2 linked regions of the Mus musculus genome follow. The protein of the gene in region 2 interacts with the protein of the main gene of each other region in a pairwise test. Links are inferred from orthologs where the notes say so. Each region holds a gene or a part of one and is shown on either strand. Other genes may lie near its edges.

What was found.
Region 1: the proteins of Dmpk (region 2) and Hspb2 interact in a two-hybrid assay, tested with the Homo sapiens proteins (2 studies listed by BioGRID). The link is inferred for Mus musculus from reciprocal best matches to the Homo sapiens genes DMPK and HSPB2.

Annotation. Positions count from the first base shown.
Region 1 is NC_000075.6:50,750,137-50,754,668, forward strand, and holds Hspb2 (heat shock protein beta-2), read right to left. Parts: upstream 2,219-4,532; 5' UTR 2,135-2,218; coding exon 2,041-2,134; intron 1,812-2,040; exon of another isoform or gene 1,766-1,811; intron 1,598-1,765; coding exon 1,143-1,597; 3' UTR 936-1,142; downstream 1-935. Other genes in the region: Cryab (alpha-crystallin B chain), read left to right, coding at 3,141-3,341, 4,376-4,498. UniProt on the Homo sapiens protein: May regulate the kinase DMPK.
Region 2 is NC_000073.6:19,081,446-19,087,039, reverse strand, and holds the start of Dmpk (myotonin-protein kinase), read right to left. Parts: upstream 3,183-5,594; 5' UTR 3,046-3,182; coding exon 2,886-3,045; intron 1,055-2,885; coding exon 963-1,054; intron 709-962; coding exon 625-708; intron 552-624; coding exon 456-551; intron 213-455; exon of another isoform or gene 148-212; coding exon 1-147. Other genes in the region: Dmwd (dystrophia myotonica WD repeat-containing protein), read right to left, coding at 4,717-4,764, 5,047-5,121. UniProt on the Homo sapiens protein: Non-receptor serine/threonine protein kinase which is necessary for the maintenance of skeletal muscle structure and function.

The DNA of each region.
Region 1 (4,532 bases), on a different chromosome or scaffold from region 2:
ATAAAAAAATTTAACCCCAAAAACCAAGAAACAACCACATTAATGAAAGAATTTCAACTATCCACCATAACATGGAATGTATAATTCATTCACATTCATATTCACTCATAGATATCTACAAATGACTAAAAGGAAACCTTTTGGATACCTCTCAAATCATACACATGTATGACACTCTCTTGGTTGTAAAGAGAATGGTTACAGCCTACCTGTACCGGCTGACTTTTCTGAACACACCATAGTCCCAGCACTGAAATCACCTCAGCCTTTCCTGACCATGCCCACTACAATATGGAAGTAGAAACTGCATTGAGAGTCTTAGATTAGGTATAGTGTTGTAGGGTTCCTCTCTCTGTGGGTTACTACAAAATCAGACACAATTGCTTCCTTGCACGGGTCTTCCCTGTACTCAAATAGGAAGGTCGTACGTAGGTTCAGTGATAATGGTGGATTAATGTGTCTGCCGTACCCATGTATGGGCACGCCTCCCCTCTCTCAGAGACCTTTCCACACACACCCCATTGATGTGAGGAGCAAAACACTCACTCCAGAGCTTCAGGCAACTCTCTCCAGCCAAAAAAAAAAAAAAAAGAAAATTTTTTCCTAACCCCTACCCAAAAAGGGCCAGACAGCCTGGAGACCCTTGTTTTTGTGTCTCTAATCGCCAGCTCAGACAGTGCCCTCTGGGCTGTTTGGATGGCCTGTCCCTAGCCCTCCCAGGATCACTCTCTCTTTTGTTGCATTGTGAGAAAATTATGGCGAGGAATTTGATCCGGAGCCAGTGTCAGCTTCCGGGTGTGATCTCAGCATCCAAGTGTGAGCTCAGGATGCTGAGACGATGGGCATATTTCACAGTGGAAATAGCTGCCTAGGACCTTCTTTCTGCCCACCGGTTTGCCATTGGGTCTTCCAGGCAACAGAACAGAAGCAGCACAAACAAGGCCCCCAGGTTTTGGTTTATTCAGCCCCACCCAGAATTAAATCAAAGGCTTTGATACATCAAGGGACCAAACCATACACTGTGGACCATGCACCGATGCCATCTCCCAGGGATGCTGCTCCCTCTGGGGTGTGGTGGATTTATGGAATCACCACGGGAGGTAGACAGGGGATTCACTGGGTGCTGGGTCTATCGCTGGCAGTCAGGGCTCAACTCTGGCTATCTCTTCCTCTTCCTCGGGGTCAGGAGGAGCAGGAAGCAGGGAGATGTAGACTTCATTGACTTCCGTGTCCAAATGCCGGCCACCCCGCGGCGCCTCCAAGTTAAGGATGCCATCATGGGATAGAGCAGCTCGAACCCGCCAGGGGTCCACATCTGCAGGCAGGACATAGGTGCGACAGAACTCTCGGGACACGAAGCCGTGGCGATCCAGACGCTGGGGGTGTCGGGCAGACACCTCCAGCAGGTTATCCACAGTCCTCACCGTCACCTCATCTGGGGTAAAGTGGCTCACATCCAGAAACGCCTGGAACTTGCCTTCACTGAGCCTGAGCTCTGAGGCCCCTGCCCTGGCGCCCTCGCCAGCTCTGGCGGCCCGAGGCCGAACATAGTAGCCGTGATAGAGGGTGGGGGTCAGGATCTCTTCTGGCAGGAGGCCTGGTTGGGGGGTTGGGGGTGCAGAGAGAGAAAGAGAAAGAGAAAGCAAGAGGCAGGATGAGGGTGGATGCAGTGGGCACAGGGATGAAAGGCGATATCTGGAGACATGGGCCAGAAGAGCAGGTGGGAACTGCTGAAGAGGGGCTGGGAAAGGAAAGGAGATAGCCATGGAGGAAGCGAGCTGGAATTGGGAGGACAGACGCGAAATCAGAAGGTACTCTGAAGCCTGCAAAGCCCAGTTACCCAAAACCCTACCGGTCTAAAGTTTATCCTGAGGTCTGTAGCAAGACCAGAGAGAGTCTTGCTTGACGGGGGAATCTGGAATGGGAGATGGTTCACCTCAGGAGTTCACTTAAGCCCCAGGTAGAGTGGAGGCCAGTAAAGCTGGGCAGTGAGCCCAGAATTTCAGGAGGTGGGGGTGGGAGGCAGCATCTGAGTCCTACCTTCTCCGAAGCGCTGCTCGCCCAGACGGCTGGGGTTGGCAAATTCGTACTCGGCAGTGGCTGGGTGGGCGTGTGGCACTGTGCGGCCCGACATGACTGCTGTTGCGACTAGTAGCCCTGATCCCAAGTACTGCCCCAACAAGATCAAGGCGACCCCACCGGCTTCAGGGAGAGCCAGGGCTCAGTCAGAGTGGGGGCGGGGTCTACACCACCCAAAATAGTGCAGAGCCTCTGGGGGTGGGGGAGGGCTGGGAGCCTAAGTCTAGAGTGCAGCTATGAGGGTGTGATCAGCCTGGACCCCCTAAGTCCCCTCCTCTGCACACCCTTCAGCTGTCGCAGGGGCCTGGTAGGACAGCTGAGGGTCCTGGTCCTGGAGTGAGCTCCTGCTCTGCAGGAGGGCAAGGAGAGGCCTAGTTGGGCCTTCACCAGTTGTACATTCCACATCACCCTTTGTCCTTCTCAGTCTCAGGCACTGTGCACATTACTTAAAAAAAAAAAAAAAGACTTAATGTTCTATGAGCCACATAGCATCCACAATGCAAGAAACATTTTCTGTCTTTGTAAGGTCAGTGTCTTCTGAACCTAGATCAGCTCAGGGTTCCAGTCAGACACCTAGTTCTGCTCTCCTCTAGGACTCCACAAAGAGTTAATGTCCCTGGGGCTAAGCCTAGGAAGATTCCAGTCCCTGCCCAGGCCCAAGATAGTTGCTGGCTCAATTCCCCTGGCATGCGAGACTGGAGAGGAGGAGGGGCCCACCAGCAGCTGCTTGGGATTCCAGGCTCCGTCCTAGCTCCAGAGAACAAGGATGGGGTGGGTGCCACTGGGTGTGGACAGAGAGCTAGTGAAACAAGACCATGACAAGTCACCGGTCAGCTCAGCCCTGCCTGTGTTTCTCTTTTCTTAGCTCAGTGAGTACCGGGTATGTGTCACCCTGCCAAATCCCTGATCACAAGTCTCCATGAACTGGCGGTGAGCTGGGATAATAAAACCCCTGACCTCACCATTCCAGAAGCTTCAGAAGACTGCATATATAAGGGGCCGGCTGGAGCTGCTGCTGAAGGAGTTGACCAGCCAACCGACTCTGCATTCATCTAGCCACAATGGACATCGCCATCCACCACCCCTGGATCCGGCGCCCCTTCTTCCCCTTCCACTCCCCAAGCCGCCTCTTCGACCAGTTCTTCGGAGAGCACCTGTTGGAGTCTGACCTCTTCTCAACAGCCACTTCCCTGAGCCCCTTCTACCTTCGGCCACCCTCCTTCCTGCGGGCACCCAGCTGGATTGACACCGGACTCTCAGAGGTGAGTCTGCCTATGCCAGGGCAGGGGTGAGTGTCCGTCCTGGACCCTCAGTCCCTTTTCCCTTTCACCCACCCCCAAGCCATTTTAGGCATCTGTGAGTGTGTGCTAAGGTACAGAGGGGAAATGAAGCTACTGTTTTCTTCTTTCTTCGGGCACCTGTTTCTGTTTGATGCTCGGTTTCCTGGTCCATTTTTCTGTGCATGGTGAGGGTCATAGTCTGTCTCCTAATGATGGAGCAGGATGCTTATTTCTGTTATTTCTGGTTTGCTTCAGCTCCTTTACTTACCTCTTCAATAGTCATGGTCTGGGAGGATTTTATCATCTCAAACTGTAAAGATCAGATAGAAACCCACTCATCCTGGACTTTTTCTGCTCTCTCTCTCTCTCTCTCTCTCTCTCATCCCTTGTCTATGATTTTCTGGGTTCCTTGGGGCTGAGACAGTGCACTAACTTCAGTCCATGCCTTAAGAGGAGTGACTGTCCGACCACTCTCGGGAAACCCTGACTTATCCTAACTGGGTGGGAGATAAGATTAACAGAGCTGTCACAGATAACACTCTGGTTTAAAAATATTCGAGTGTGAGGAAACAGGAGCTGAGTGAGCAAGGGCTTTGGAAGGACAGGACCAGCAGAACATTCCAGATCGAGTGGGTTGGAAACTTGGCAGGGAGCTGAACAAGGAAAAGGGGGCCTTTGTCTTATAGACAAATGACAAAGCCAGCATTGGGGAGCGAGGCAGCAGATGCCATGCCCAGATCCATCCTTGTGACTAGTCCCCTAATGACCTGTCTTCTTCCCTGTGCCTCTAAGAAAAGTTTGGGACTGATGACCAAGAGGCGTCCTTTGCATATCACTACGGTAGCTCACATGCACCAGAGTCGCTATTCAAAGGGGAGGGGGCGTGTTTTCCCCCAGCAGTCAAGTGGAGCATGAATTACCTGGACAGGAAGTAAATCTGCTGAACGATGAGCCTTCTCCAGCTTAATAAACGTTCTACTATCTCCTCTCCTCCTCCTGTCCCCTTGTTATTCTAGATGCGTTTGGAGAAGGACAGATTCTCTGTGAATCTGGACGTGAAGCACTTCTCTCCGGAGGAACTCAAAGTCAAGGTTCTGGGGGACGTGATTGAGGTCCACGGCAAGCACGAAGAACGCCAGGTGTGTGGACCTCTCCGTCCTCTTTTGTGAATCC
Region 2 (5,594 bases):
GTGCACGTAGCCCAGCCGGTGCACGGAGTCTATGGCCATGACAATCTCGGCCAGGTAGAAGCGAGCCATCTCGGCGGGGATCCGCTCCCCAAACTTGCTCAGCAGCGTTAGCAGGTCCCCGCCCACGTAGTATTCCATGACCAGGTACTGGGAGCGGGTGTGTCACAGGGGTTTGGTAGCCCCCAAGACTCCCAAAGACACCCCGTTCCCAAGCACAGAGGACCCCCGCACAGTGAGAGAGCGCCCCATCCAAAGGCCAAACCAGATATCACTCCTGTCTCAAGGAAGGTCTCTCCTATACTTGAGACACAATCCTACCCCCGTCCCCCATCCCCTGTGTGTGTCCCCCCCACCCCCACCCCCCCGATCTACAGCAGCTTCTCCCTTCTCCAGCCTTCTTGACTTGGGGCGATGTAACTGTCACTCTTTCCTAGTCACCTGAACCCGGAGCTTACCAGGTAGTTCTCATCCTGGAAGGCAAAGTGCAGCTGTGTGATCCAGCGCCGGTCCCCTTTCACTAATACATCCCTTTCTTCCCGGAAGCACGACACCTGTGAGGTAGGAGAGAAGCTACAGGAGGTGAGTTGGAGAGATGAGGGCGCTGCCCTAATCCCTGGCCCTCACCTCGCCTCTCTTCAGCATGTCCCACTTATTCATAATCTTCATGGCATACACTTGGCCCGTCTGTTTCATCTTCACCACCGCTACCTAAATACGGAACCGAGATGACAGCAAGAGGTGGCAGGGAAAACCAGCAAGGCTCACCCAGACAGGACTCCACCCTTATCTCCACCCAACCTTAGCCCCGCCCTCACGTGCACACCGCCCACTGACCACAAGCTCCGCCCCCACCCCTCCAGCCTTAAATTCAAGCTCATTCATCAATTTTTAAGGCTCTGCCCCAGCTGTTATGCCCCACCCACATCAAGTAAAGTTCCATTCCCAGGCCACTGAAGACTCACCTCGCTGAACGCCCCACGCCCGATCACCTTCAAAATCTCAAAATCATCCCTCTGCAGTCGGACCTCCTTAAGCCTTGCTGCAATGGGCTCCACTGGGCGGGGGTGGGGGAAGAAGAACCAAGGGTCATCAGAACACTAGCGGTAAGGGTAGTGACTTTATAGCCTCCTTCCTTCTGCCCCTTAAATCGGCTTTAGGATTCTGCTTTCAAAACCTCTGTGATGTTTGTGGGACCCAGAACTGCCTGTTTCCACAGGGTTGCAGGGCAGAAAGGGAGGCAGTGGGAGAAGCTGGCGCATCAGGCCTTTCACTCCCATGTGATGATCAGGGTGCTAAGTCAGGTCACCCGGGGCTCTCACTTAATGTCTCGGGCCACAACCTCGAACTGGAGCTGTGTCAGCACAGCCAGCACGAAGAAGAAGTGGGGGAGGGTCACTGCCCTCCAGCATCCTGGACACTGTTGGAAGGGCTTTCTTGGTTTCCAAAGGGTGAAGGAGAGTCTTCTTATAACCAAAGCTCCAGGGTATAAGGTCCTGTGCTAGGGTGGTTCAGCCAGAGGGGAGAGCAGCTAGGTCTGAGGCTGGCGACTGGGGGTGCGGGGTGGGCAGAGGGAGGTCAGATCTCCCTTAGGGAAGTTCTAAGGCCGGGGAGTAAGGATGGAGGAGGGACGTGTGGGGAAGCGGGGAGATGGGGTCACAGAGAAGAAAGGGGTTTGGGAAAGTGGGCAGCCGGGGAAGATACAGCTAGGGCCAAGGCTGGGGGGTGGGGAGGAGGAGAGAGCCAAGGCGTTGAGCCCTTTTAAGGCAGCGGGAACCCAGGCCCCCTCCCCCGCCCAGGCCTGGCAGGGGAGGGGCCCACAGGATGCTGCTCAGGCCACAAAAGGACTGCTCCTTCCCAGAGGGTCAGACCCCCTGCCCCCACCCCAGTTCTCAGTTTACCCTGCCAGCCCAAACCCCATCCTTCAAAAGAAAGGTTGAGGGAGACACTAAAGACTGGAGAGGAGAAAAAGTCTTTCACAGGCTTAGCAGTCTAACCGATGGCCTCAACCTTTCCATCTGTGAAACGGGGGAGGAGGGGAGAATGCACTAGGGTCACACACATGGGCAGACAGCCAAGAATCAAGACCTGGACCCTTAATAATAGGCACAGAGCAACAAAACAGGTCGTTACTTGTAAGGAAGCTGGGGTAAGCTGGAGCTTTGGCTCAATGTTGGGCAGGAGCAGATAAGGCTCCAAGCTTGTCCACTAGGCCTGAGAAGACCTCTGGGGAAGGGCATTTAAGTCAGCAGAGGAATTAGAGGTCTTGAGCTAGAACCACAAAAGCAGATGAGAAGCCAGGAGGGATGACCAATCTGGCCCACAAAGGCTGGGCGGGATCAGAGTGCTAGGGATGGGCACACTCAGAAGCTGAAGTTGTTCCTTCCTCTTAATTTGGGGAACAGAAAGGGTGCTCGGTGGCGCCTGTCTGCCGGGCTGGTTCTCCCCCAGGGCCTCTGTGAGTCACAGTGCCCTCATAGCTCCTGGACACCTGTCAGGGCAGCTGGGGAGGCAGACGCCAAACACCTGCCTATGGGCCACACCCTGGCAGCTGCCCCACGCTGTCCCTCCCCACACTCTGGGAAACTGGGGAGGGCTATGAAGCCAGTTTGAGGAGCCAAGGGTCCTAAAAGAGAAAGCTGCCAGGTCCTAGTGTGGGTGCTGAGATAGCAGGAGGCTATGCCCACCCCAGCCTGCACTGGCTGAGTCATAGGTGGCCTCACTGACCCTGGTGCCTCACCAGGGGAGCTTGGGGTCAGGTCATGAGCTCTGCTTGGCTCCCTTACAAAAAGCCCTTTCCAGGCCCTCCTGCCCCTCCATAGCCCATTCTTGCCCTGTAGACCCACCTCTGCCTTGCACCCAACCCCAGGCTTCCTATCCATACTCACCCCACTGCAAGAAGTCGGCCACATACTTGTCCTGGGCTAGGTGAGAGGCACCCAGCTCCTGGTGGACGCCCAGGAGAAGGTCGAGCAGGGGCTCCAGTCCCAGGAAGCCTGGGTCCAGCACCAGCTGCTGGAGCTGCCTCAGCCGCACTTCGGCTGACATGTTGGGCAGGCAACACCATGGCCCCTCCCCGGGCCGGAGCTCGGGGTCTTCCCGTCACAGGGCCTGGCTGCCCCTGTCCAGGCCCCAGAACCCTAGCTGCATGTCTGCCCGTCCCTGACTATCCCTTGGGTCTCTCTGGCCAGTTCTATGCTTAAGGCCTCCTCCTCTTTTCTCCACCCCTTGGCCCAGCCCCCCTCCCGCCTCCCAGTTTTTAACCCCTCCTGAGCCAACACCCCAACTCCCTTCTTCCAGGGCCCCTCAAAACTCTTCAGAGCCCAATGTCAGGGGACAGAGTAATACTCCAGGGTTGCCCCCCCCCATTGACTCTACCCACCCATAAAGAGAGCACAGGGAGTTACAGGTGGGAGGTGTCAGTGCCCAGGAGAGCCAGTCTATAGACTCAGAGCTGGGAGGGGTTGGGGGAAAGGGCTGATGCCTGGGCAACAGGGGGTGAGGGGGTAGTGGGGGGGGCAAAGGCCAGGGGCAGCTTCTTCGTGACTCAGCAATGGATTCCGACTTTGGGACAGTTAAATTTAGCCCCTGTGCCTGCTGTATTACCCGCCCCCCCATTTTTTGGCAGGAGGTAGAAGGAAGATCAGGAGAGAGTTTGCTCAGCCGCCAGGGCCAGGGGTGACCTGCTGGCCCCAGCCTGGGGGAGGCAAGTGGTGGATCCAGGCCCTCCTTAAGCAAAAGAGAACCCCAAAATAGCTCCTTGGCCACAGGCCGGGGCAGCCACATTCCTGCCTGGGCTAGGATTAGAGACAGAAACATTTTAGGGGTTGAGGGCGGAGCTGCCTGGACAGCAAGCCAGGCGACAAGTTAGCTTCTTTCTAGGGTGGCCAGTTCTCTGGGGAGGAAATCATGACCTCCAGCTGGCACTAGATGGCCAGTCATAAATGGGCCAGGGGCAGCAGACTGCAAAGGCATGTTCAGAGGAGGCAGGGAGTGCAGTCAATTCCAGCATCCTCCTCTCCCCAAGGAGAGCATGCTTGGATAGTCCTGGTGTTTAAAACAAGTTTCAAACATCTCCAAGGACCTAGTAGGAAGGCCATCTCAGCCTCTTGACTTTGGGGGTCGAGACTCATCTTTCAGAGGGCTCTCTGCTCGGGGCTAGGGATGGGGAAACAGCTAAGATTGGGCTTCCTTTGGTCAGAGCACAGCTTGGAGGCCAAGTACTGCAACCCCCACCCTACCCTGCCCCAGGGAACAGAAACACTGTGCAAACAAGGACTTTAGTATAAATAAGAGGTCCAGGGGAACAAGGAGGGCCCTCAGGGCTTCCATAATTTAACACTTTCAAAATCACAGACCATAGCAAGGGGTGGAGTTTGGGCAGGAGTGGGGATGGCCCCTGCCCTGCCCTCTCACCCAGGGGTACTGTGGGCTAAGTCTCTCCCAGGAGTGAACAGTCACATGCTGGGACAGGGATATGGTTAACACTGATGTTTCAGAGAACAGGTCATTGTACTTGGCAGTGGGTGGAGGACAGGGCCAAGGCCACACAGGACACTACATCCCCATGGCTGGGCCAACCTAGGGGACCCCCAGTATGTGTGCAGCGTGGGGCTTGGAGCAGTCCTTCCATCATGATTAGTCTTGTTAATACAGTGATTCTTGAGGTCAGCGGGGAGGGTTATGGCTAGGAGGCCGGGAACATGGGACATCCACATTTCACACCACAGTGCCACTGGGGGAGCTGCCTGGTTGGGAGGAGATGCCCTGGGGAGAACAAGAGGAGAAAGGTGGATTAGACAGCACCTGGGCTTCTGCCAGAACCCGGAGAAGGAGCCACCCAAAGGCCTTGGAGCTGCTGCCCCAGCTGGGATCTGCCCCCCAGGCCTAAAGCTGCTGTCCTAGCTAGGAACAAACAGCTCGGCCGTCTCCACTGACCCAGAGTAGCACTTCCACAGTAATGTGGCCCCAGGTGTCCTGGGCATACAGGGGACGACAGTGGAGAGAAAAGAAACTGGGGTCCACTTGCAGCTTCAGGGGTTGTCCTACCTCTACAACTGACTTGCTGGGTGACCTGGGCCAACTTGCTTGCCCTGCCTGGGCCTCGGTCTCCTCGTCTGTGAACTAGGGAGACAGAGGGGTGTCTGTGAGAACTCAGTCAACTCCCGCAGCCCTACTAGCCTGGCAGTGGCTCTGCAACTGCCTGACGTTCTAAGGCTTCTGGACTCTAGCCTTCCAAAGCAAGGGACTGAAGGACTGAGGGCAGAGTAGGGTCCTAGACACTGAGACCACATGCTCAAGCCTGACCAGGTGACAGGCCTGCACCTCACCAACTAAGAGCACAGCCACTGCACAGCCCATCTGTGAGACCCAATGACCAGGACCACACAGCAGCAAGAGGAAGTGCAGGCCTGGACCCTGGCTAATTCCCATCCAGGCCTTCAGCAGCTGGCTCAGAAACAGTGTCTAAGAGGCAGGCCAGAAGTGGGCCCCCAGCTCAATCACATCCCTAGACCTGAATAAAGTTTCACCATCTACACTTCAGATTTCCTATAAACACAGGTTCTGCCTTGAGTGTGAAGTACTAAGGATGAGCC